Linked DNA regions of Arabidopsis thaliana. The main gene of each other region encodes a partner of the protein of the gene in region 2 in a complex. Each region holds a gene or a part of one and is shown on either strand. Other genes may lie near its edges. The genes, in order: rps15, PSRP4, EMB3137 and rps8.

What was found.
Region 1: PSRP4 (region 2) and rps15 share a complex: the UniProt entries of both Arabidopsis thaliana proteins name them as parts of the 30S ribosomal subunit.
Region 3: PSRP4 (region 2) and EMB3137 share a complex: the UniProt entries of both Arabidopsis thaliana proteins name them as parts of the 30S ribosomal subunit.
Region 4: PSRP4 (region 2) and rps8 share a complex: the UniProt entries of both Arabidopsis thaliana proteins name them as parts of the 30S ribosomal subunit.

The regions. Positions count from the first base shown.
Region 1 is NC_000932.1:121,735-127,181, reverse strand, and holds rps15 (ribosomal protein S15), read left to right. Parts: upstream 1-3,619; coding exon 3,620-3,886; downstream 3,887-5,447. Other genes in the region: ndhH (NADH dehydrogenase subunit 7), read left to right, coding at 3,990-5,171; ndhA (NADH dehydrogenase subunit 1), read left to right, coding at 5,173-5,447.
Region 2 is NC_003071.7:15,974,153-15,982,112, forward strand, and holds PSRP4 (plastid-specific ribosomal protein 4), read left to right. Parts: upstream 1-6,695; 5' UTR 6,696-6,795; coding exon 6,796-6,952; intron 6,953-7,019; coding exon 7,020-7,084; intron 7,085-7,172; coding exon 7,173-7,307; 3' UTR 7,308-7,460; downstream 7,461-7,960. Other genes in the region: AUX1 (Transmembrane amino acid transporter family protein), read left to right, coding at 94-277, 556-653, 1,175-1,382, 1,469-1,726, 2,407-2,640; ATMAK3 (Acyl-CoA N-acyltransferases (NAT) superfamily protein), read right to left, coding at 4,487-4,702, 5,399-5,454, 5,594-5,714, 5,814-5,993; AT2G38150 (alpha 1,4-glycosyltransferase family protein), read right to left, coding at 7,548-7,960.
Region 3 is NC_003076.8:4,616,718-4,625,715, forward strand, and holds EMB3137 (Ribosomal protein S13/S18 family), read right to left. Parts: upstream 2,265-8,998; 5' UTR 2,056-2,264; coding exon 1,939-2,055; intron 1,742-1,938; coding exon 1,517-1,741; coding exon of another isoform or gene 1,472-1,516; exon of another isoform or gene 1,290-1,471; coding exon 1,122-1,289; 3' UTR 706-1,121; downstream 1-705. Other genes in the region: CXE16 (carboxyesterase 16), read left to right, coding at 165-705; AT5G14330 (uncharacterized protein), read right to left, coding at 3,230-3,503, 3,722-3,834; MYB40 (myb domain protein 40), read left to right, coding at 6,614-6,782, 6,874-7,003, 7,534-8,062. UniProt on the Arabidopsis thaliana protein: Located at the top of the head of the 30S subunit, it contacts several helices of the 16S rRNA.
Region 4 is NC_000932.1:78,999-82,371, forward strand, and holds rps8 (ribosomal protein S8), read right to left. Parts: upstream 1,475-3,373; coding exon 1,070-1,474; downstream 1-1,069. Other genes in the region: rps11 (ribosomal protein S11), read right to left, coding at 1-378; rpl36 (ribosomal protein L36), read right to left, coding at 491-604; rpl14 (ribosomal protein L14), read right to left, coding at 1,698-2,066. UniProt on the Arabidopsis thaliana protein: One of the primary rRNA binding proteins, it binds directly to 16S rRNA central domain where it helps coordinate assembly of the platform of the 30S subunit.

The DNA.
Region 1 (5,447 bases), on a different chromosome or scaffold from region 2:
GCGTTCCCAAAGGCGTAAAACTGTTATTTGGGAATTTTTTCAAGCAAAAGTACATTCCCCCCTTTTTTTTGATAGAATAGATAAACTTTTTTTTTTTTCGTTTGATATATGGGGGCTAAAAAAAAAAATTATTAAAAATTTCATTTGGAAAAAAAAAATTGATAAAAAAGAAGAAGAACAATCAAAAAGAGAAGAAACAAGACGGATAGAAATTGCAGAAACTTGGGATAGCTTCCTATTTGCTCAAATAATAAGAGGTTCTCTCTTAGTAACTCAATCAATTCTTAGAAAATATATTATATTACCTTTATTGATAATAATTAAAAACAGTGTCCGTATGTTATTATTTCAATTTCCCGAGTGGTCCCAGGATTTAAAGGATTGGAAACGTGAAATGCATGTTAAATGTACTTATAATGGGGTTCAACTATCCGAAACAGAATTTCCAAGAAACTGGTTAACGGATGGTATTCAGATAAAAATCCTATTTCCTTTTTATCTTAAACCTTGGCATAAATCTAAATTTCAAGCATCTCAGAAGGCTCGACTAAAAAAAACAAAAGACAAAGGAGAAAAAAATGATTTTTGTTTCTTAACAGTTTGGGGAATGGAAACCGAACTACCGTTTGGTTCTGCCCAAAGAAAGCCTTCTTTTTTTGAACCTATTTCTAAAGAATTAAAAAAAAGAATCAAAAAATTAAAAAAAAAGTCTTTTGTGGTTTTAAAGATTTTCAAAGAAAGAGCACCCATTTTCCTAAAAGTCGCAAAAGAAACTAAAAACTGGATTCTCAAAAACTTTATTTTTATAAAAGGAATTTCAAAACGAAATCTAATTCCATTATTTGGCCCGAGAGAAATATATGAATTAAATGAACCTAAAAAAGATTCAATAATAAGTAATCAGATGATTCATGAACTATCTGTTCAAAATAAATCCTTGGAGTGGACAAATTCTTCACTTAGCGAAAAAAAAATCAAAAATTTGATTGATAGAAAAAAGACAATCAGAAATCAAATAGAAGAAATTTCAAAAGAAAAACAAAACTTAACTAATAGTTGTACCAAACTGCGTTATGATTCTAAAATAATTGAGTCATCAAAAAAAATTTGGCAGACATTCAAAAGAAAAAATACCCGATTAATTCGTAAATCCATTTTTTTTTTTAAATTTTGCATCGAACAAATGTCTATAGCTATTTTTCTAGGTATCATTAATATTCCAAGAATTACTACACAACTTTTTTTTGAATCAACAAAAAAAATTCTTGATAAATATATTTACAAGAATGAAGAAAATGGAGAAAAAAAAAAAAATACTCTTTATTTTATTTCGACTATAAAAAATTTAATATCCAATAAAAAAAAAATGAGTTATGACCTATGCTCTTTATCACAAGCATATGTATTTTACAAATTATCACAAATTAAAGTTAGTAACTTTTGTAAATTAAAGGCTGTTCTTGAATATAACATATGCATAACATCCTTTTTTGTTAAGAATAAAATAAAGGTTTTTTTTCAAGAACACGGAATCTTTCATTATGAATTGAAAAATAAAACCTTTTTGAATTCCGAAGTAAATCAATGGAAAAACTGGTTACGAAGTCAGTATCAATACAATTTACCCCAGATTTCATGGGCTAGATTAGTAACCCAAAATTGGAAAAATAAAATAAATAAAGATTCTCTAGTTCTAAACCCAAGTTTAACCAAAGAGGATTCATATGAAAAAAAGAAATTTGATAATTATAAAAAACAAAAATTTTTTGAGGCCGACTCATTATTAAATCCAAAACATAATGTAAAAAAAGATTCTATATATAATCTTTTTTGCTATAAATCTATTCATTCTACAGAAAAAAATTTTGACATGTCTATAGGCATTGCCCTAGATAATTGTTTAGTCTCTTCTTTTCTAGAAAAATATAATATTCGGGGTATGGGGGAAATTCGGCATAGAAAATATTTGGATTGGAGAATTCTTAACTTTTGGTTTACAAAAAAAGTAACTATTGAGCCTTGGGTTGATACTAAGAGTAAAAAAAAATATATTAATACTAAAGTTCAGAATTATCAAAAAATTGATAAAATAACGCAGACGGATCTTGCTAATAAAAAAAGAAACTTTTTTGATTGGATGGGAATGAATGAAGAAATACTAAATCAGCGTATAACAAATTTTGAATTTTTTTTCTTTCCGGAATTTTTCTTATTTTCTAGTACATATAAAATGAAACCATGGGTCATACCAATCAAATTACTTCTTTTAAATTTTAATGAAAACATAAATGTTAATAAAAAGATCATTCGAAAGAAAAAAGGTTTTATACCATCAAATGAAAAAGAATCCCTTCGATTTTATAATCTGAATAAAGAAGAAAAAGAATCGGCCGGTCAAGTAGAACTTGAATCAGATAAAGAAACAAAAAGAAATCCCGAAGCAGCTCGATTAAACCAAGAAAAAAATATTGAAGAAAATTTTGCAGAATCAACAATAAAAAAACGTAAAAATAAAAAACAATACAAAAGTAATACAGAAGCGGAACTTGATTTATTTCTGACAAGATATTCGCGTTTTCAATTGCGATGGAATTGTTTTTTTAATCAAAAAATTCTCAATAATGTAAAAGTATACTGTCTCTTGGTTAGACTAAACAATCCAAACGAAATAGCGGTATCTTCTATTGAAAGAGGAGAGATGAGCCTAGACATTCTAATGATTGAGAAAAATTTCACTTTTGCAAAATTAATGAAAAAAGGAATATTGATTATTGAACCTGTGCGTTTGTCTGTACAAAACGATGGACAACTTATTATATATAGAACCATAGGTATTTCATTGGTTCATAAAAATAAACACAAAATAAGTAAAAGATACAAAAAAAAAAGCTATATTAATAAAAAATTTTTTGAAAAATCCATTACAAAATATCAAAACAAAACTGTAAATAAAAAAAAAAATAATTATGATTTCTTTGTCCCTGAAAAAATTCTATCCCCTAAACGACGTAGAGAATTTCGAATTCTAATTTGTTTCAACTTAAAAAAAAAAAATGCTAGGGATACAAATTCAAGATTTGATAAGAATATTCAAAACTTGACCACCGTTTTGCATAAAAAGAAAGATCTTGATCTTGATAAGGATAAAAATAACTTAATTAATTTAAAATCCTTTCTTTGGCCCAATTTTAAATTAGAAGATTTAGCTTGTATGAATCGCTATTGGTTTAATACTACTAACGGAAATCATTTCAGTATGATAAGAATACGCATGTATACGCGATTTCCAATTCCTTAATCATAAATACTTTTTACTATATATAATAAGTTACGGTATATGAAAACAACTATATGCACAAATATGAGGGATTGTTTTAAATTAAATCTTTATACATGAGATTAATTTAATCAATCACATAGATACCAATTATAGCGGATTCATAAATAAATTAACAGAATCCTTCTTTTTGAGATCTAAATTTAGATTTTTTTCTAAAATGAAGAATTAAGAGGTTGATAATTAAATTAAGATCCTTGTACAAAAAAACTACCATTATTATTACTGATCAGTAAAATTAATATCTTTCAATTCATATTAAAAGGGGAAGGATTTCTTTTTATGATAAAAAATATAGTCATTTCATTTGAAGAACAAAAAGAAGAAAGCAGGGGATCCGTTGAATTTCAAGTATTTAGTTTCACTAATAAGATACGAAGACTTACTTCACATTTGGAATTGCACAGAAAAGATTATTTATCTCAGCGGGGTCTACGAAAAATTCTGGGAAAACGTCAACGACTGCTGGCTTATTTGTCAAAAAAAAATAGAGTACGTTATAAAGAATTAATTAATCAGTTGAATATTCGGGAATTAAAAACTCGTTAAATTCAAAAATTGTGAATTAGTGAATTTTTTAGATCTTGAATTTTTTGATAAACTTCTTTATTCAGAAATCTAATTCATGCCAGAACGAATCAAGGAAAAACTTATGAAGAGACCAGTTACAGGAAAAGATCTTATGATAGTCAATATGGGACCTCACCACCCATCCATGCATGGTGTTCTTCGCTTAATTGTTACTCTAGATGGTGAGGATGTTGTTGACTGTGAACCCATATTAGGTTATTTACACAGAGGAATGGAAAAAATTGCAGAAAACCGAGCAATTATACAATATTTACCGTATGTAACGCGATGGGATTATTTAGCTACTATGTTTACAGAAGCAATAACAGTAAATGGACCAGAACAATTGGGAAATATTCAAGTTCCTAAAAGGGCCAGCTATATCAGAGTAATTATGCTGGAATTGAGTCGTATAGCTTCTCATCTGTTATGGCTCGGCCCTTTTATGGCAGATATTGGTGCACAGACTCCCTTTTTCTATATTTTCAGAGAACGAGAATTTGTATATGATCTATTCGAAGCTGCCACCGGTATGAGAATGATGCATAATTTTTTTCGTATTGGAGGAATAGCGGCTGATTTACCTTATGGTTGGATAGATAAATGCTTGGATTTTTGTGATTATTTTTTAACAGAGGTTGTTGAATATCAAAAACTCATTACACGAAATCCTATTTTTTTAGAACGGGTTGAAGGAGTTGGGATTATTGGTGGGGAAGAAGCAATAAATTGGGGTTTATCCGGACCAATGCTACGCGCATCCGGAATACCATGGGATCTTCGTAAAATTGATCGTTATGAGTCTTACGATGAATTTGAATGGGAAATTCAATGGCAAAAACAAGGAGATTCATTAGCTCGTTATTTAGTACGACTTAGCGAAATGACAGAATCCATAAAAATTATTCAACAGGCTCTGGAAGGACTTCCAGGGGGTCCCTATGAGAATTTAGAAAGCAGGGGCTTTGATAGAAAAAGGAATCCAGAATGGAATGATTTTGAATATCGATTCATTAGTAAAAAACCTTCTCCTACTTTTGAATTATCAAAACAAGAACTTTATGTAAGAGTTGAAGCTCCAAAAGGGGAGTTGGGAATTTTTCTCATAGGAGATCAAAGCGGTTTTCCTTGGAGATGGAAAATACGACCACCGGGTTTTATTAATTTGCAAATTCTTCCTGAACTAGTTAAAAGAATGAAATTGGCTGATATTATGACGATACTCGGTAGCATAGATATAATTATGGGAGAAGTTGATCGTTAAAATGATAATTTATGCAACAGCAGTCCAAACTATAAATTCTTTTGTTAAATTGGAATCTTTAAAAGAGGTCTATGGACTCATATGGATATTTGTCCCTATATTTTCTCTTGTATTGGGAATCATAACAGGTGTACTAGTAATTGTGTGGTTAGAAAGAGAAATATCTGCAGGGATACAACAACGTATTGGACCTGAATACGCCGGCCCGTTGGGAATTCTTCAAGCTCTAGCCGATGGGACAAAACTACTTTTCAAAGAAAATCTTCGTCCATCTAG
Region 2 (7,960 bases):
TGTTATCTTTTAATCATTCTCTTTATCTTTTTAATCACTCTTTAATGATTAAGAATGGAGGATAATTGAAATATGATTGGTGTTTACTTGCAGTAACATTTATTACATAAACGATCATCTGGACAAGAGAACATGGACTTACATATTTGGCGCGTGTTGTGCAACCACTGTCTTTATACCGTCGTTTCACAATTACCGAATTTGGTCATTCCTTGGCCTTGGAATGACCACTTACACCGCTTGGTACTTAGCCATTGCCTCCATCATCCACGGCCAGGTAATGTTTTAATATATTTCACCAAAAATATATTTCATCACATTATAAAGATCACTACACTGTCGTTTTCATATTTATATGCTTTGCATTGAGGTGACAGTATATGCCTTAATTAAAAAGAAGAATAAAAAAAATTCGTATTTTCTCTTTAAGATCAGGGATTATTCTTTGCATCTTAACCCAAATTTGTATTAAAAAGTGTATGTATAATATAACTTAGACAAAATTAGCTGTTTAATATTCTCCTAATCAAATTTTTTTTTTGTTGTTTATTTTAGGCGGAAGGTGTGAAACATTCAGGTCCAACAAAGCTAGTGCTTTATTTTACGGGAGCCACAAATATTTTGTACACCTTTGGAGGTCACGCGGTTACTGTGTAAGTTACTCTTCTTTTGATTTCTTAATGATTATTAATTTTGTATCTAATAAAAGATCAATAAATTTTGTCAGACATAGTTGAATTACTATTTAAGTTAAAGCTAAATGGCAGAAAAAGTATATGGTAAATTAAAATGGTGCCATATTATTAAATTATGGGTGCTGCTGTATCGTTTCTTCGCCGCTTCTATTGCAGCTTTTGCCGGCAAATAAGGTGTAACTATTATTACAGTCATCATGATTGTCATTATTATTTTTAGCAATCCTTAAAATAGTAGTACTAATAAAATAAGCTCTTTTTAAATATAAAATAGAATAACCATTATTATTCCTATCCCTATAAAGAATAACAAACACTATTGCTACCAAAGCACTACTACTACTAGTAGGAATAGTACGCTTTTGCGAAATGTCAAATACACCCTTTTTATGCGTCAATGATTGTTGTGAATCCAATCTTTTACATAGTTAAAGTTTTGGATGAAATTATGAATATTAACAGTAATTTCTAATTTGCAGTGAGATTATGCATGCTATGTGGAAACCACAGAAGTTTAAGTACATTTACTTGATGGCGACGTTATACGTGTTCACGCTAACGATTCCGTCAGCTGCCGCCGTTTACTGGGCTTTCGGAGACGCACTTCTCGACCACTCCAACGCTTTCTCTCTTATGCCCAAGAACGCGTGGCGTGACGCCGCTGTTATCCTCATGCTCATTCATCAGGTATACACATACAACATTTTTGTTCTTTCTTTTTTAAGTAAATTTTGATCATGAGAGATTAATGCAACGTGTTCTTGTTCGTGCAGTTTATAACGTTCGGGTTCGCTTGTACACCTTTGTACTTTGTGTGGGAGAAAGTGATTGGGATGCATGACACAAAGAGCATTTGCTTAAGGGCTTTGGCTAGATTGCCTGTGGTCATACCTATTTGGTTCTTAGCTATTATCTTCCCCTTTTTCGGTCCAATCAATTCCGCTGTCGGTGCTCTTCTTGTTAGCTTCACCGTCTATATCATCCCATCTCTCGCTCACATGCTCACTTACCGATCTGCCTCCGCTCGTCAGGTATAACATCTTTACTAGCTCACTCTCTTTTAGCGTTTCAAAACTCGAACTTAACCTAAAATACATTGAGTTACCAATAATTTTTTAGAAATGAAATGAAGAGTCGGTGGAGGAATATTATAGTTGGGGGGTAGGGTTGTGAAATTGGAGGGCAAAAACGTCTTTTGTGGAAGATAGATGGGGTTCAGTGTTCCGTATCTTACGGAAGATAGGATCATCACCCACATTCCTTACTGGCGTCCCCTCCAAATAATATATTATTGAGTTGGTTTCAGCCATTTCTTTATTTGGTTACATTTAGAAGAAAAAATACAATATCCGGTTAGGTTAGTATTAGTAATTGACCATGACTTCTTTTTCTTTCTCTCTTTCAAAACAGTGTATATTAAATTTACGTAAGATAAAAGTAGAGGAAAATAGGGGAGAGGAATAGGTAAGAGTCATAATCAGAAATGAAAAGGAGCTGTACAATAGGGACTCTATGCCTAACATTAATCTAAAGTGAGAGTCTGAGTATGACAAATCACAATCATATCTCTCTCTCTCTCTCTCTATCTCATGGGTCAACAAAGCTTTGGATTTTGTCCATTACTATACGACCAAAACTCTAAAACACTTACACACTCTCTATTTCTTTAATGGTTCTCTGATTATTTTTGTGTTTTGGATCTTTCTTGTAGAATGCGGCGGAGAAGCCACCGTTCTTTATGCCGAGCTGGACGGCGATGTACGTGTTGAATGCTTTCGTGGTGGTTTGGGTTCTTATAGTCGGATTTGGGTTCGGTGGATGGGCTAGTGTAACCAACTTTGTTCGTCAAGTCGACACTTTTGGTCTCTTTGCCAAGTGTTACCAATGTAAACCAGCTGCAGCCGCCGCACATGCCCCGGTCTCCGCTTTACACCACCGTCTTTGAGAGATCGAGTCAGGGTTCTTCTAATGCGTTTGTGGAGGGTTCTTAAAATTATTTGTTCTTCTTTTGTGTTTTGTGTTCGTATACGTGAAGGGAGTAAAAGTCACGAAAATAGTGTACTTTTTACACACCCCTTTAAATGCGTGCTAAGCTCTTAATTATTTTTTTCTCTTTTGGGGTTTTGTATTTTTGTTTTCACTCCTTAGTTTTTTTTTTAAAATTGAATAGTCGATAATATGTAGTGTGTGATTTCTTAATTTGGTATTGTTAAAACAATAGGCTAAGAAAATGTATCGTCTTCTCTCCTTTTACTTGTCTTTAGTAACAAAAAACAATTCTTATCTTATACATTTATCCTAATTAGACTTATATAAACTATTTTACCATGAACAATATCTTCCGATACTAGATAATTCTTTAGGATCCTATTAGATCTTTTAATTATACAGTTTTGATCATAGCACAGCGACAATACTACTAAGTTTACATTAAAATTTTGAAATAACACTTTAATTTATTTGGAAAATTTGATTTAACGGCAGGGTGTGTTTAAAAATTAAATAGGGGAACATGGACAAGTTGGACCGACGGAGCCGGTCATATATCCTATGGGCCACATGGGTGTGGGGAGAGGACGCACGTGGATACTTCGTCCGAGTCACGTGCCATTATTTACTTGACACTCTTCATCTTCTCTCTGATCAAAAGAATGGATCAGAGGACCGTTCCTGTCCCTCATATTAAATATGGCATGTGTTCGTTCCATTCGTACTCAATCGTTTACCCCTTATCATATGCTCTGCTTTCACATGTACTTTGCCCCCAAAGATTATAACTATATATGTAAAATTATTAACTAATATTCTCGTTTGAATCCAGAGTCCGATTCTTGTACTTTCCATCTGACTTTTTTTTTGTTGGGGGTCAAAATAAAAAAGAACTTTGCAAAAATGTTTCTTCTAATAGCATAAAATCGTTAAAGAGAAAAGAAGAAGTGAATGTGAGTCATATTATGCGATATGGAGTAGGACCCTTGGTAACGTTTGGTTAGTGACCCTTGGTAACGAGTGGGTTCAAATTGTCAATAAACTATTATGTGGCGAGTGGTGAATCGTCTTTAATTTGTTCTGATTTAGGCCATGTGAGTTTTGCAACTACATTTGAGGCTTTTCTTCTTCTTTATATTAGACTTTTTTTTTTTTGTAAAGTGGACTATCTGGATACAAAAAAAATCTCGGCTAACATGGATAAATCTAAGATGGTTGTGTTTGTGAAAAGAAAATTGTTTTATAGTAAAATACGGTATGCAATAAAAGTATTTCATAAAATATCTCATACCAATTATTCAAGCATGTCTTTTCATAACATTTGACTGGCATCTTTCTCTCCTTTGGCCTTAAATCAATTTTTTGTCATCTTGGATTTCTTTTGAGGTATATAGAGCTGTTTGAAAATTTTGATGGCTGAAAATCACTTCACATCTCGATTTCTATATCATCCACTTAACTCGAAGTCAGGAGTAGCCTGAGACGATTAGGTTAAGTTAAGTGGTTATATGAATTTGTAACAACATTTAGATCTTTGTTTCCAATCATCAACCAAGTTTGAGAGACCTTAAAAACGTATATACGCACACCACAAAGTGATATGAATATGCTAAATTGTTTCTGTAGACACACAAGACCGTTGAAACGTCCAGATTAATCGCTTACTCCAGTCGAGAATACTTCATAAACATGGGACTAGAATTGTACCAACACATAATATTTCTTCATACGAAAGAGAACATAGTCTTAGCATGTTCAGGATTTAGAATACATTGAAGAAACACACATCTTCGTTCATGGCCTTAAGGTACACGAGGCCTAGGAAAGGTCTCATACTCTTGTTGGGTTTGAACTTGAGAAGGTATTTGAGGTACACGAGGCTTAGGGAACAAGAGCTTCAGGCGAAAAGCATCCATCCCATTCAAGTAATAGTGGTATAGCCGTTTGGCTCTTATAAACCCGAGTCGCCCATATAGTGCTAATGCTCCTTTGTTACTCACTTCTGCCTCCAGAGTTACCTTCAGCCATACATCTTTACATTAATTAGATTGCATAACCAGACAACCATACTCTCATGTTGTAATCAGGCTTGATTATGAGGAACTTGAAGAGCAAATGCCAATCACGAGGTTCTTTTTCCAATCTATTTACTACTGAGATTACAGTTAAGAGATCACACATACAACAGAAAATGATTCGTCGAATACGCAATTAGTAAGTGGGAGACAGGGATTTCTTATTTTATATTACTATCAGTTACATTCCAATGCGTGTGACTATAAAGAGTCATGGACTACATACAAGACTTATACAACATATGTATACTAAGTGAGAGACTGGGATTTTGATTTCCACTACAAAATTAGTAACTAAACGAATATCGAAAAGTTCCAACTCTTAGGAGTATGATTAACTACTTTTATACGTGGAACTAAACTTACACACACAGTTAGCTAAACAATCAAAAGCAATAGGTATACTTGCAATGATTAAAGGCAGCTACATCACCTCAGCTATGAAATTCTATTCTAGTAGATAAAAAGGAGGCACTATTTCAGGACATGTAATGGACTTATAACCTTCCGGAAAAGGTGGTTCATAAGGTCTTATCTACATTTATACTACCAGGAAAGGATATCACTCTAGTGCTACCAAATATCTAAGTTCTCCAAAGTGGGAATAAAGAGAGAAGTGAGAATGCAAGAACAGCATACCTCTTCACAGCCTGATTCCATCATCGCTTTTATCGCTCTTGTGACAAGCTCTGAGGCTGTAAAAAAACAATGACAAGTCAGCACACAAAATTATCGAACCTTAAGAGAGGCATGTATTTGCAGTAGATCAAACACTACTCCCACAGTCAAAATCTGATTCTGTAAGAAGTTAGGAAGCACTAGCTCAAGTATTACCTATGCCTCGGCCACGATATGGTTTAATCACAACCAACATAGCGATGTACCCTCTGAAAGTCTGTCGATGATCCCCCATCTTACAGACTATGGTTCCTACGCATTTACCTTTGTGAAAGGCCTATTAAAAGAAACAAAACAAATGCTACTCATAAATCCATCAAAACATAAGTATCATGAGGGTAAAGCAACGATAATCGAAAGCTGAGTGTCAAAATACCAGGAAGCATAGCTGCGGCCAGAGGTAGACGAAGTACCGGTAAGTAAAGATGGAGTAAGGTTCACTAAGTTCTTGGTCAACAAGAGACATAATCAATGGCAGATGATGCTCACCAGCATAACTCGTGTACTCAATCTCACCCTCATCGAATTCTTCTTTATCTTCCATCTCTTTCTCCATTGCAAGAAGTGATCAAGATCCCGAATTGTATACTTACAAAGAGAAATATGAACTTCTGATCAGTTGTTTATACATTGATGATCTTGTTCCTATAGGAAGTGATGAAACACATAATGCAAAGTTAGAGAATATAAATCATTTTCTGTGAATCGAAGTTGAGTGATTGTTTCAGAATTGAAAGTTCAATGTTTTCATAACAAACTCAGATTGCTCAAAGCCTCAAATAAACAGCTGAAGCAGAATCTATAACACTCTACTAAAGCAAACGACTTTGGCTAAAGCGAGCTATAGAAGATTTGAGAGTTCAGAAAAAAGAGAGCTTACCGATGTTATGTGACAATAGGATTAGTAAAGAATCCTGTGAAGCATAAGAATGAAAAAAACACACACAGATTTTAAATACCAAGTAATGAGAGATTTAGAAAGAGATGTGATTATAAAAATTGAAACTTTTTAGAAACCCAAGATCAATGAGATGATAAGAATACTTACCAAAAGTTTGAGCTTTGTGAAATTCGAAGATCAAAAGTTACGATCTGGGTGATATCTGAAGAAAAAAGCTCCGAAGAGAAGACGAAGAAGAACAAGAACAAGAACAAGAACAAGAACAAGGTCGATTACACACGTGACAAGCATGTGTAGGGTTTAGATATATTTGGGCTTTAAAATAAGCCCAATTGAAATTAAAGCCCAAATATGAAAAGATAATTAAAAGCCTATCCTAAAATCGTTTTTCTACTCTCACTGCCTTATCTTCTTCTGGATCTTCTTCTTCGAACAAATTCGAAAACAGCACACGGCGATGGCGTCGCTTATACTCGGAGCTCCTCCGCGAGTCACCGTCGCATTACCTTCCTCACGGTTATCATCTTCTCACTCTGAAACTGCCGGTGTCTCTCTCTCTTGCTTCACTCATCAATTCTCTCTCTCCACTTCCTCATCCAGCTCAATTCCACTCGGTAATCTCCCTCTCTTATCTAACTCTCTCTTAATTCGTCAATGGCGTAACTTTTCCGGTGTTCGCAGTGTACTGTGGCAGAGGTGACCGGAAAACAGCTAAAGGAAAGCGTTTCAATCACTCTTTTGGGAATGTAAGTAATCAAATTTCTCTTTCCGATTTCGTAATTTTACTTTGCAAATTCGCAATTTTGGTTTTGAATTTGGGGTTTATGTAAGCAGGCGAGGCCAAGAAACAAGAGCAAAGGAAGAGGACCGGAGAGAGTACCGGTTCCTCCAGCACCACCGAGGAAAGATAAGTTTGAGAACGACGAGAAGATCAAAATCGATATCGACGAGTCTCTCTTCTCTAATTAGAAATATGAGATTCTTCACTTGTTGTCTCTCACTGTAATTTTAATTTGTTTTTTGAAAAGCTTTGATGCTACGACTCTTTTGTTGTTAAAAACATCTCCAAAGTTCTCATCTTTTTATGAAAAGTTTGCTTCTTTATGAATCATTGAGTCTTTTACATTGAAAAAGTAAAGCAAACTAAGAACGAGAATCTATATACTTAGATAGATCAGATGGATGAATCATCTGTCTCTGTTTGGATCTTTAAATGTGAGAGTTTGTGATGTTTCCGCAGACTGTGCAGTGAGTGGAGACGAGAGTGTGCATTACACTTCCTTCTTCAATCTTAATCTTCCTTGTGACTTTGTTCCACAGATGTATCATGTAACTCCCTTTGTTCATGTCCTGTACTGTCTTCTCTACCCATTTTGCTTCTCTTGTGGTTGCAGGTTTCTTGAAAAGCTTTTGGATTTTGATCCAGTTTACTGGATAGAAAGCATCGGGAGAAAAGATTGTGAGATTGTTGTATCCAGGTTTGTTTCCTAATCTCTTGATAACTCTAGAGACTAGGTAAGGGCTGTTGTATCCCCATTTGTTTCCGTCGAAAGTTGTGGCATACTCTTGCAAGAATTCTCGCATTAGCGGATGGTAGATGTCAAAGACCATCACTGCGTTGT
Region 3 (8,998 bases), on a different chromosome or scaffold from region 2:
AAGATCTTAAGAATAGTTTCATGTTGATCTAGGAGTAACTTGGTACAAAGTCAGGATTCTTTGGACAACTAGTTAGATGAACTAAGATAGCTTATCTTCCATTGATTGCAATCTCACATCAACTTCTGTGTCTCAACCTGTTGCTTCATATGATGTTAAAACAGATGTGTTCTTCTCGGGGTGAGCTGTGGTGGGAACATAGCAGACTATGTAGCTCGGAAAGCAGTGGAAGCTGGGAAACTTCTAGAACCGGTGAAAGTTGTTGCACAGGTTCTAATGTACCCCTTTTTCATTGGAAACAACCCAACACAGTCCGAAATAAAGCTGGCAAACTCTTACTTCTACGATAAGCCTGTCTCTGTTCTAGCCTGGAAACTCTTCTTACCAGAGAAAGAGTTCGACTTTGACCACCCGGCAGCAAACCCACTTGCCCATAACCGCAGTGGACCACCTCTGAAGCTAATGCCTCCAACACTTACAGTAGTAGCTGAGCATGACTGGATGAGAGACCGAGCCATTGCTTATTCAGAAGAGCTTAGAAAGGTAAACGTAGATTCTCCAGTTTTAGAATACAAAGACGCAGTTCATGAGTTTGCTACACTTGATATGCTTCTCAAGACTCCTCAGGCACAGGCCTGCGCCGAAGATATTGCCATTTGGGTCAAGAAATACATTTCACTCCGCGGCCATGAGTTCTCTTACTGAAAATTTTTACCCTGTTATTATTCATTTTCTTCCTTTTTTTTGTGTGATAGCAAGATTTTCTGGGTAGGATTAGAGACAATCCAAGATCGAGTCTTTTGGCAAAAGCTATAAAATTTTATTTTTTGGTTACTTATGTATTCATATGTACGTATTCTGAATAAACCATTTTTGGTTCGACCAAATTTTCAAGTTTGTTCTTGGTTTGTCATCATTCTTGAATGCTGAAATCTTCAACTTCTTTTGTAACTTTATAATGAATGATGAAGATACGGAATAATAATAGCTAAAAAGCCGAAGATAAACTGGAAAGGGCTCAGTTCGAACAAAGGTTTGGGAATTACAAATCACATTTAAACAGAGATGACTAGACAAACTAAAAAGAGTATTACAGAAGAAGAAGGAGATCATGAAGATGATTACTTGGAAACTTTCTTCTTCCCTGCAATAGCAATTTTCTTGCCTTTAAGAGTCCTGCAGTTGTTCTTGGTTCTCTGTCCCCGACATGGCAGCCCTTGGATGTGCCTTACCCCACGGTAACACTGGATCTCCTTCAACCTCTTGATTGCAAGAGCATTGAACCTCCTCTGCACAACATCCACAACACAAATCAATAATTCATTCACAAAGGCCTAAGAACCAAATCAAAACAAGAGGAAACCCAAACTAAAGCAATGAAAACACCAAATAGATAGCAGCCTAAGTTCTTCTCCAATCTTCAAGAAACTGCTCGAGAATGGACTGACAGAAACTGAAACTATGATGCACATTACTCATGTCCTAAAGTGTGTAAATGTAAGGGAAAGTGTATTACCAGATCACCCTCAATCATGTACTTGGAGACTTCATCACGAAGAATGATGAGTTCTTCCTCAGCCATGTCTTTAGTAATCTTGTTCTCCATCTGAAGATCAACAAGAATCTGACGAGCCCTAGTTCGACCAATCCCATGAATGTACTGAAGAGAGTACTCAATTCTCTTATTAGCCGGAATCTCCACTCCACCAACACGAGCACATCTGATGCTTAGACTCTGCTTCTGCATTTCATTACAAAAAAAAAAAAAAACTTTAAAAACACAGAGACAAATTCCCCCAAAAATTGATGGAGTGTTCTATAACCACCCCTAACCCAAAAATTGACGAACAAGAATGAAGTAACACATAAAAAAACATGAAGTCAAGCTCGATAAATTACAACATCATACGCAAGAGAGAGTCCAAGAGAAATGATTACATTGGGAGTGTTTGAAGCTGGGAGGGCAAGAGTGTTGCGAGAGAGAGGATTGGATTTTGCCCAATTGCAAATGAGTGAGAGCGAGTGCGCTACGGGCATCGCAACCATCTGCGCCATTGTTATGTTCTCTTCCTAGGAATTTCGGATTCTGGGAAACTAATTCAGAGGTGACGAAGAAGAAGAAGAAGATGAGCTGAACGGATAAGGCAAACGTCGAATCCAAACGCTTCTCTTGTTTTTGCTCCGTCTCTACTTACTCTATTCAATTAATTGCTTACAAAACTGGCAAAATAAATACTTGTTGGGCTTTGTTTTTTGTTGAGATAGGCTCGCTATTGTATAACACGGCCCAACTAGTGGACTATAACAAAAATGCAAAAACCGAGTGGACTATAATAAAGTGATACAACTATAAAATGAAAAAAAAAATGATTTACAGATATTTTCTTAACAACTAAGATGAATGGTGTGATCAATGACACACATTTGATCAGAAGACGAAAGGCATGAGCCTTGGCTCCATGTGGGCACGTAGCTATTGAGGATAGAGTCATGATAGAAAAAGATTGTATAAAAAAAATGGTAAGTGTATAGATGAAAAGTCAACGGATGAGAATGAGTCTTGTTAACTATTTATCGAGATGGTCGTTCACTTCGTTATTGTCACATGTTGTTGTATTTTAAGGTGTTTGGGGATTTTTTCCATCTTGCATATATATCTGATTCATTGGAGTTGTACACTTGTACTCATGGTTTTGTTGGCAAGTTTACTACAATATTTCGAGTGTTTTCATGATGTTTATTGTTTCGTACTTTACACATGAAACTAGTTTAAAGCTTGTCGTTCTTCTAATAAGGATATCACTCATTGATTTTGACACCAACGTCTGAATAGTGAATACACCATTATTTGTTGAGGCGTACCCATTACTGTCACGTAAGGCCTGCATTTCATTATTTTGTTTAGGCTGACCCAATTTATTTTATATATTTACTTCGGATATTTATCTATTCTATAACCTTAAGATGAATTAGTTGATTTTAAAAAGAAAGTCCACCTTTTCTCAAACGGGCCATTATAATGCCTTGATTAGAAGATTTGGTTCGAAAAAGAGGAAAATATGATTAAGATAATAAAAAAAACATCAAGAGATAAATGTTTTATTATGATAGGAACACAACATCACAATCTTTGAAGAATTAACAAAAAAAGAAGGAATACATGTGAAAATTAAAATAAAATCTCATAGAGAGTAAAACATATTCTGAAGATGAATGGCAACACATCTCATCAGAAGACGAAAGACATAGCAGCGACCAATGCGGTGGCGATGAGCTGAGGGTAGGCGGAGAAAGTGGCGGCACTTGGAGACGGAGCCTTAGCCATGGGTGGCATTGGAGCCATAGCCGGACCATGGTGGTGGGTTCCGTTGTGCGACTCAGCAGTCATGACCATCACGGCCAAGACAATGCAGATGAAGGCGAAGCGGATCAAAGAACTTCTTGGTGCCATTTGAATGTTCTTCTCCTTTTTCTTCTTATTTGGTTTCTTTCTTTGTTGTTCTCTGTATGATCTATCAACAAAGGGGGTCGAATTTATAGAGAGAGAGAGGGGTCCTATAAAAAATGTTTAGTGGGTTAAAAGTCAACGCATGTGAATGAGTCATGATGTTGAGACGACCTAAATTCGTTATAATTTACATGTTGTTTACTTGAATATTTAAAAAAATGGAAAAAAGGACAGAGTGATCATGGTTATGTGTTTGAATTTGTTAGTGGACACCCATTTATATGTTCGTGAATGTTCTGCCGTTCTGGAACAGCTGTTACATAAGAGGGACGTTTCTTGACTAAGCCAAATTGACCCGGTTTGATTAGGGATTGATTCCAATCCATGTTCTGTTGCCGGAGACCAAAGAAAATGGTGTCTTTTGTGAGGCCGATCAGGGGCTTTGGCTCTTGATGAAGTTCAAAAAGAATAGAAATGTTAGCGTTGGTGATAGTTTGATATTTCCAATAAAGCATTCCAACTGTACCAACAAGTTTTAAAGATCAAACATCCGAAAGTACTATACAATCATTCTTGAAACTTGAAAGCAAACCAGTAAAACTTAAAAAGTAACACCATGATTCTTTTAACTAAATTTAGCAAATGTTATTATTAATATGATTATTTATCTGTTTGAAAAAACTGTAATTCTAGTAAACAAACAAATAATAAAAAGAAAATTATTTGATAAAACGGTAGATACAGTATGTTTGCAAAGAAAAAATTAGTTAACGAATGGAAAGGAGAAACTGATATGCTAAACGAATATTCTACGTAACGCTATCCATAACTACAGTTACAATTTTTAGGCCCAATTAGTGACTATATGAAGATTAAGTTGGACCTAAAGAGACAGTGCTTTTTAGTGGGCCTAAATATGATTCTGGTCCCTTGCATTAATAATTTTTCTTACACATCGTAGGCTCCGTATATACTCTTTTTCCCAACGGTCTCTCACGTATTATTTATTGTTTTTGTGATTTTGTCGAGGTCCCTCTCATATACAACAATACTCTTCTATATTACATTTTTCTAAATTTTAGTTCAGTTCAGTGCACCAAAACAAAAACGAATATTTGGTTAGCTGCAATTTTATTTTCTTGATGTACCACACAAAAGTTAAATATATTGAAGTATAGTAAGTTTGTTGACTACCTATAATGTAAGCTATACGGAAAAGAAAGATGTATGTATATATATATACATACACGTCGACTATAAATCAAATATCTAATTTCTTTTAACGTCTAATAAGTAATAATCGATCGGTTACCTAGGTTTCTATAGTACTTTAATGGAAATTGTAATGTTTACATTATCTGTTTATCACATTACATTATATATGAGTCATGGCGGGTTTTTTTTTCTTTGGGTGTTAATTAAGAGTGTGGCATGAAGGGTTAAATATTCAATTAAGGAAAAACTAATGCAATTTGGTTATATAATTTGTTTTCCTAACAGATTTCTAAATTTAGGTTGGTAATTAAACATTATAATAGACTAGGACATATAGCCTAATGTCTTTCAGAATTGATCTATAATTAGATAGATTTCTAATATTTGATCCCTATTTGGATATATGCACATACCTTCAAGTACATGGCGAATATTCCTCCATGCATTAACGCGAAACCCCACTCCGTATTTGGAGTATTTTAATGCAAATTGTTCCTAACCTTCATTTCTTCTAAGCAACTTAATTAGTTCAATATGAGAACCTTATTTCAAAATACTTTAATAAACAAACTAAGAAATCGATATGATTAAACCCTGAAATCTATATAAAATAGATATTCTTGCTATTAAGTATTTACACATATACAGCAGTTAACATATTTGGAACAAAATACAATAGTAAACATATTTGGAGGGAAAATGGTTCCAACAAGTGTAGTTTTCCAATGACATCTAATATCAATCACTTTGCTTATAAATATATTTTTTCACTTACATTTATAATAAATAAGGGGTTTGTCTGATAATTAATATGTATGTAAATTTTCTAACTTTGATAAGTACATAACTCTTTTAAATATCATCACGATAAGAATACGTGAAGATAATGTTTTGGACATTTCAAGGAAATTAAAATCTTATAAATCTTGTATAATGATGTCAAAATTAATAATCTTATGTACATACTAATCGTCGTTAATAGTATACCATTGACGATGCTAGTTCAGTTCTTTTGGCATTCAGCTGACTAGATGAGTTTTTGTTTATTTAACTGAAAATACTTAAATATAATAGCATGACTAGATGAATTCAAACTTGACTTTCTTTATTAAGCAAGTTGCCTAATCATGACGGTGTAGTGCAAACTAACAAATTATGACGTAAAAAGTCGAGTTCCTCAAAATGTTTTTAACAAGAACAAATTATTTACAAATAGAATAATGAAAAAGAGAAGATGCCTTGATGACAGAATAAGCACAAGGCTTTGAAGAGGGGACCGATGAATCCAAACAAATCTCAAATCGTTTCTTTTAACCAAACTTTTAATCAATCAATGAAATTCCTTCAATTACCAATTAAAGTAATATCATATATCATATGGTAATCATAAGCTTAAAATAACAATTTTGCAATAAAGCAAACAAATAATTAATCATTATGGTTCAGTTTTTTAACTCATGAAAGTCATGTTGCCACCATTATCTACGATAAAATAATTAGTCTGTCTTTATAGAAACAACAAAAGATAATTATGCAATGTTCATATCATCATATGCATATATGTACTTAGTTGATTGCATTTAATTTATCTACACCTATTAAATTAAGTATGGCTTTAGTGCAAACTTTGATAGGTAATGAATCATAAGCTCAAAAGAAGTTTGTCCATAATTATTGTAATACAACCTCACACACTTCTCACCAAATCTTTCTTTAATTGTCTCCGCAATCATTATTTACTGCTTCACTTATTACTAGTGTTTTGCTTTAAATTTGGATTTATTTGTCTTTTAGCCTGTAAGTGACCTGTCAAAGGAGAGAATCTTTGCCCTTCCCAACTCACCTCTTATTATTTATAAGTAATGCCCATTACTTGATCCAACGCTCTCTTGTTTATATTTTTGACTAACTCAAGCTCTCTCGGTTTTGCTTTAATTCAGCATTAGTTATATGTGTGATTTATTAGCTTGCCTTAGAAAAATTTCAATGGGGAGAAAACCGTGCTGTGACAAAATTGGATTGAAGAGAGGTCCATGGACTATAGAAGAAGATCATAGACTCATGAACTTCATTCTTAACAATGGCATCCACTGCTGGAGAATTGTCCCCAAACTCGCAGGTACTTCATTATTTATACATGCATGCATTATTAGGTTTCCTTTATATTCGTTTTTTTTCTTGGGGAGTTAAACGTTTACGTGTACATGAAGGTTTGTTGAGATGCGGGAAGAGCTGTAGATTGAGATGGATCAATTATTTGAGACCCGATCTCAAGAGAGGTGGTTTCACTGATGCTGAAGAAGATCGGATTATGGAACTTCACTCTCAACTTGGCAACCGGTACGATAATCTGAAAAATAAAACTTATCCATATATTTTCATTAGCCGGCGTCAAACTAGCTTTTTCATATGAAATCTCTCTCGAATGTAACACCGTATACTTTATTTAGATCCAATATGTTTGAGTCATCTTCCTTTTAAGTCATATAAATATCTTTCTAAGACTTGTGAGAACTATTTATTTTACATTGGTTACAAACCATATTTACACCAAAACTTAGATAATTGACGTATATACTTGTGCATGGAAGTGGGTTAAAAATTAAAAATAAAAGTTTGACGTATATAGTACTTGTGCATTGAAGTGGGTTATTTCTGAGTGAAGAATCGGCTACGAAAACAAATTATGTGGAGATTTCTACATACGATATTACTTTTTGTATATATAACTTTCATGCCATAGATTATATTTTTTTGGTTTAATTCATGAGACTTGTAATATAAAGTGTTATATATTGATATAATCATGTTATATGCTATACGCTTTAATTTTGCTTTTTCATGTTTTATGGATGCTTTGGACATTGTAGGTGGTCTAAAATTGCCTCGCATTTCTCTGGTCGAACGGATAACGAGATCAAAAACCACTGGAATACGAAGATCAAGAAGAAGATGAAACATCTTGGGTTGGATCCGGCTACGCACAAACCGATGAATGATATTACTCATCAAACCGATCCTAATCAAGATAAAAAACCAAATATGTGTTCTACCATCAATGAAGGAGAAGAGATCAAGGATCAAACTCCAAAAGATGATGTTATCACAGAAACAACAAAAACATTAATGTTATCTGATAATGATGAGGAACTTGTGGCGAAAAACTGCAAAATTCTATGTGCAGAAGAAGTAGACTTGGAATCTCTATTTGAAACGCAATGCAATGAGATATCCTCTTCGTCTTTCTCTTCACTATGTAGTAATATTTCAAGAAGTGAATCTTCATCATATCTTGCAGAAGATTCGATCTCTTTAGAGCAATGGGACTTGGATATGACGGATCCTTTTGTACCATGGGACCTCTTCGCCAATCTTGATGATAATCTTTTCCTCTTATGATGAATGTACTATAACATTGTAATATAATATATCTATATAATTATCGCAAGTAATTAGCAGTTTCTTTTATGTAAAATGTGGATTATGCATGGCGTGTGATGTTGTATCATAATTTGCCCGTACAATATGTATGCATATATATAATGACTAATTAAAAAGGAATACATATATGATGAAAATATTTTACTCAGTTGAATAAACTATATATATCGTTTGTTTTGAAAAGTATAATGTCAATTTTAGTTTGATCTGTCAAAGTCAGGATCACTATCATCGTTGTTGTTCAAATAATGTTTCATTGTCAAATTGGAAGTGTTCACACAAAAACTATATATCGCTTCACACAAAAACGGGCACATAGGAAACCCAGTCATATATCCCACATGTGCGACACAATAAGTTTTGTATTAATTTATATTATATGCTCACTATATATGTTATCAATGTGTTCTTTACTTCTTTATAGTTAGGTGAATTAGGTCAATGCGACCTTTCGTGGATTAGAAAAAAAACATAGAATAAACAAAACTTTTGATATTAACAAAACCTTTATAAGAAAAAAAAATGAAACTCACGAAAATTGACCCGTTTCAGAATTAAATATGTGTTCTCCAAAATAAATGGTACCTACCTACTTTTACAAAAAGAATAAAATAACAATTGTACCTACTTTCATTCGAGAGAATGCATTTGGTTATTATTATTACTTTGTAGTAAAAGAATCAATGAAGTAATCACTTCTACTAAAATATCAAATAACTCTTATTCTTCTTCTTTAAGAAGATTTGATTTGATCGGACCAAAATAAATTAAGGTTAAACATTTTTTAAACAGTTTTAGATCATGGTGATCATAGTTGTTGGGATAAAAGCCAATGACGACGATGTTGCTTGCGTCAAGTGCTTGGATTTTTGCAATCATTGAATTAACTTCTAT
Region 4 (3,373 bases), on a different chromosome or scaffold from region 2:
TGGCATAGGGGTTACATCTCGTACGAAACTTAAAAGTATACCGCTTCTACGAATAGCTCGTAATGCCGCATCTCTTCCGAGTCCAGGGCCTTTTATCCTTACTTCAGCTCGTTGCATACCTTGATCCACTACTGCTCGAATAGCATTTCCTGCTGCGGTTTGGGCAGCAAAGGGTGTTCCTCTTCTTGTACCCCGGAATCCACAAGTACCTGCGGAGGACCAAGAAATCACCCGACCCCGTACATCTGTAACGGTTACAATGGTATTGTTGAAACTTGCTTGAACATGAATAACTCCCTTTGGTATTCTACGTACATTTTTACGTGAACCACTACGTGTATTTTTACGCGAACCAATTCTTAATATAGGTTTTGCCATTTTTTTTCATTTCACAAGAAATATATGGATATATCCATTTCAGGTCAAAATAGACCCTTTTTTCCAACTCTTTGGAAGTGCCTTTTCTTTTACTTTAGTTCCTTTAGTAAGATTATCCTTGTCTTTGTTTATGCCTCGGGTTGGAACAAATTACTATAATTCGTCCCCTCCTGCGGATTAGTCGACACTTTTCACAAATTTTACGAACGGAAGCCCTTATTTTCATAGTTGTTATTCCTTAATTCTGTGAATATATTTATTGGTGGACGAAAAAAAGGTTTCTTGATATTTTTGAATCTTGAATTGTATCTTCGTGAAAGGAATGGTTGAAATTGAAAAAACACTTACTCATTTGAATACTTATTATGGAGTCTAGAAAATGGCTGTCCCCTTATTAACTTATACTTAAGAACTTACTCAAAATTTTACCTTTTTATCCTATAGGTATACCTATACAAAAATATGTCGAATCCTTTCAGAAGCATGAACGAAAAAAAATCTTTAGTATCTAAACAAAATCGAACCATGCCGTTCGGAAGTGATTAAGAAAGAAAACTTTTATTAATTCATTTTTTCTTTAATTTCATTCGAAGTAAAACATCCGAAACTTTTTTGAACAGGGGTGGTATTACACAACCCCCTTTTTTCACAAATTGTAAGTTACAGATATCTAATTTTTATATTAGAAGGATTACCATATATAACACAAAATTTCTCCGCCGATTCTTTTTAGTCGAGCTTCTCGGTCTGTCATTATACCTTGAGAAGTCGAAAGGATTACAATTCCTATTCCGCCTAAAATTCGTGGAATTCGTTGAGAGTTAGAATAGATTCGTAGACCCGGTCGACTTATTCTCTTTAAATTTAAAATCGTTTTGTAGGATTCTTTCTTATTTCGTCTATGTCTTAGGGTTAAAATCAAAAAATATTGGTTGTTTTCGCGATGTTTCCTTACGTTTTCGATAAAACCCTCTCGTAAAAGGATTTTAACAATACTTTCCGTGATGTTAGTCGATCCTATCCGAACCGTTCCTTTTCTATTCATGTCAGCATTTCGTATAGAGGTTATTATATCAGCAATGGTGTCTTTCCCCATGATAAGTTAAAATTCCTTATTGTTCTATAATTTTGATATAATCAACATGTTCTTTTTCTTTTATTTATATATAGATATAGACGAATTATATATTAATATATGAATTAAATTCTTAATATTTTATTATTAAGGGTATATGCGTGATACAGAATCTATTAATTAATTTTATTTCAATACCTGTTTTTTTAATCCGATACTAACTATCGCTATCGATATTTAGATCTTATAATACCTCAGGAGCTAATGAAACTATTTTAGTAAAGTTTAATTGTCTCAATTCCCGTGGGATCGCCCCAAAAACTCGAGTTCCTTTTGGATTTCCTTCTTGATCAATGACAACTGCGGCATTGTCATCATATCGTATTATCGTCCCATTGTTACGTTTGAGTTCTTTACAAGTACGTACAATTACAGCTCTAATCACTTCTGATCTTTCTAGAGGAGTATTTGGTATTGCTTCTTTGATTACAGCAACAATAACGTCACCAATATGAGCATATCGGCGATTACTAGCTCCTATTATTCGAATACACATCAATTCTCTAGCCCCGCTGTTGTCTGCTACATTCAAATAGGTTTGTGGTTGAATCATATCATTTTTTTTGTATCTCTTCTTTTAATGCAAAGGACGAAGTAAAAAAATATTGTTTGTCAAAAAAAGAAAACTTATAATCTTTTTACCCTTAAATGTTATTTAGTTTTTTCATTATATATTCCTATTCAGAAATAATGAATTGGGTTTTTATAGGCATTTTTGATGCCGCTATTGAAATAGCTTTTCTTGCTATATTTTCGGGTACACCACCCATTTCATAAAGGATTTTACCTGGTTTAACCACAGCTACCCAATACTCAGGGGATCCTTTCCCAGAACCCATACGCGTTTCCGCAGGTCTTACTGTAACTGGTTTGTCTGGAAATATACGTACCCAAATTTTTCCACCACGTCGTACATTTCGTGTCATTGCGCGTCGCCCTGCTTCTATTTGTCTAGATGTGATCCAAGCGGGTTCAAGTGTTTGAAGAGCATATCTGCCAAAACAAATACGATTCCCACGAGAAGATATTCCTTTTAGTCTTCCTCGATGTTGTTTACGAAATCTGGTTCTTTTTGGGTTATAGTTGATGGTTCTAAATTAGAAATTCCATCTCTACTACAGAACTGAACGTGAGAGTTTCTTCTCATCCAGCTCCTCGCGAATAAAAGGACTAAAAAAGCTTGTATTAAGATATAGTTAATGATTAATTCTATTAATCATGATATTCAATTTCATCTGATCTCTTCTAAATTTGTGTATGTCTTTTTCGAAATGGAATCCAAGATTAATTCTATTTATTTAAAAATAACGTAACGTAATATCATCATCTCGAATGTCGTTTTTGTTAGAATATTCTAACAAATCCTTATTTTCTTTTATCTTTTTAATTTTTGTTTTTTATTACTTTTATTAAAAAAAAAGTATTCGCCGGCGAATATTTACTCTTTCAATATCTATATTAAGTTTGTTGTTTATCCCAGGAGATCTCTGAATAAAAATAAGAATAGATAATAATCTGGTTTATTCCGCCATCCTGTCCAATGAATTACTAAGATTTATTTTTCAATAGAATCCTCTATATTCATGGGTTCCGTCGTTCCCATCGCTTCTTGATTAATCATTAGGCCCGAATTCTACAATGGAGCTCTTATATGAAATCGGGAATTTCATTTTTTTTATTTGTTTTTGAGTCAATTTTCTTAGTTTTTATTGGCTCAAGGCTCTTAATTTTTTTTGTTTTCGGAACAGATTTATCTAATTATTCTGAATGAATCTGTATTGATGCTTTATTACATTGCTTTTCTTACAGTGACCTCATAGACTTTCCAAATTGGAATAATATATCATTAATATTCAATTT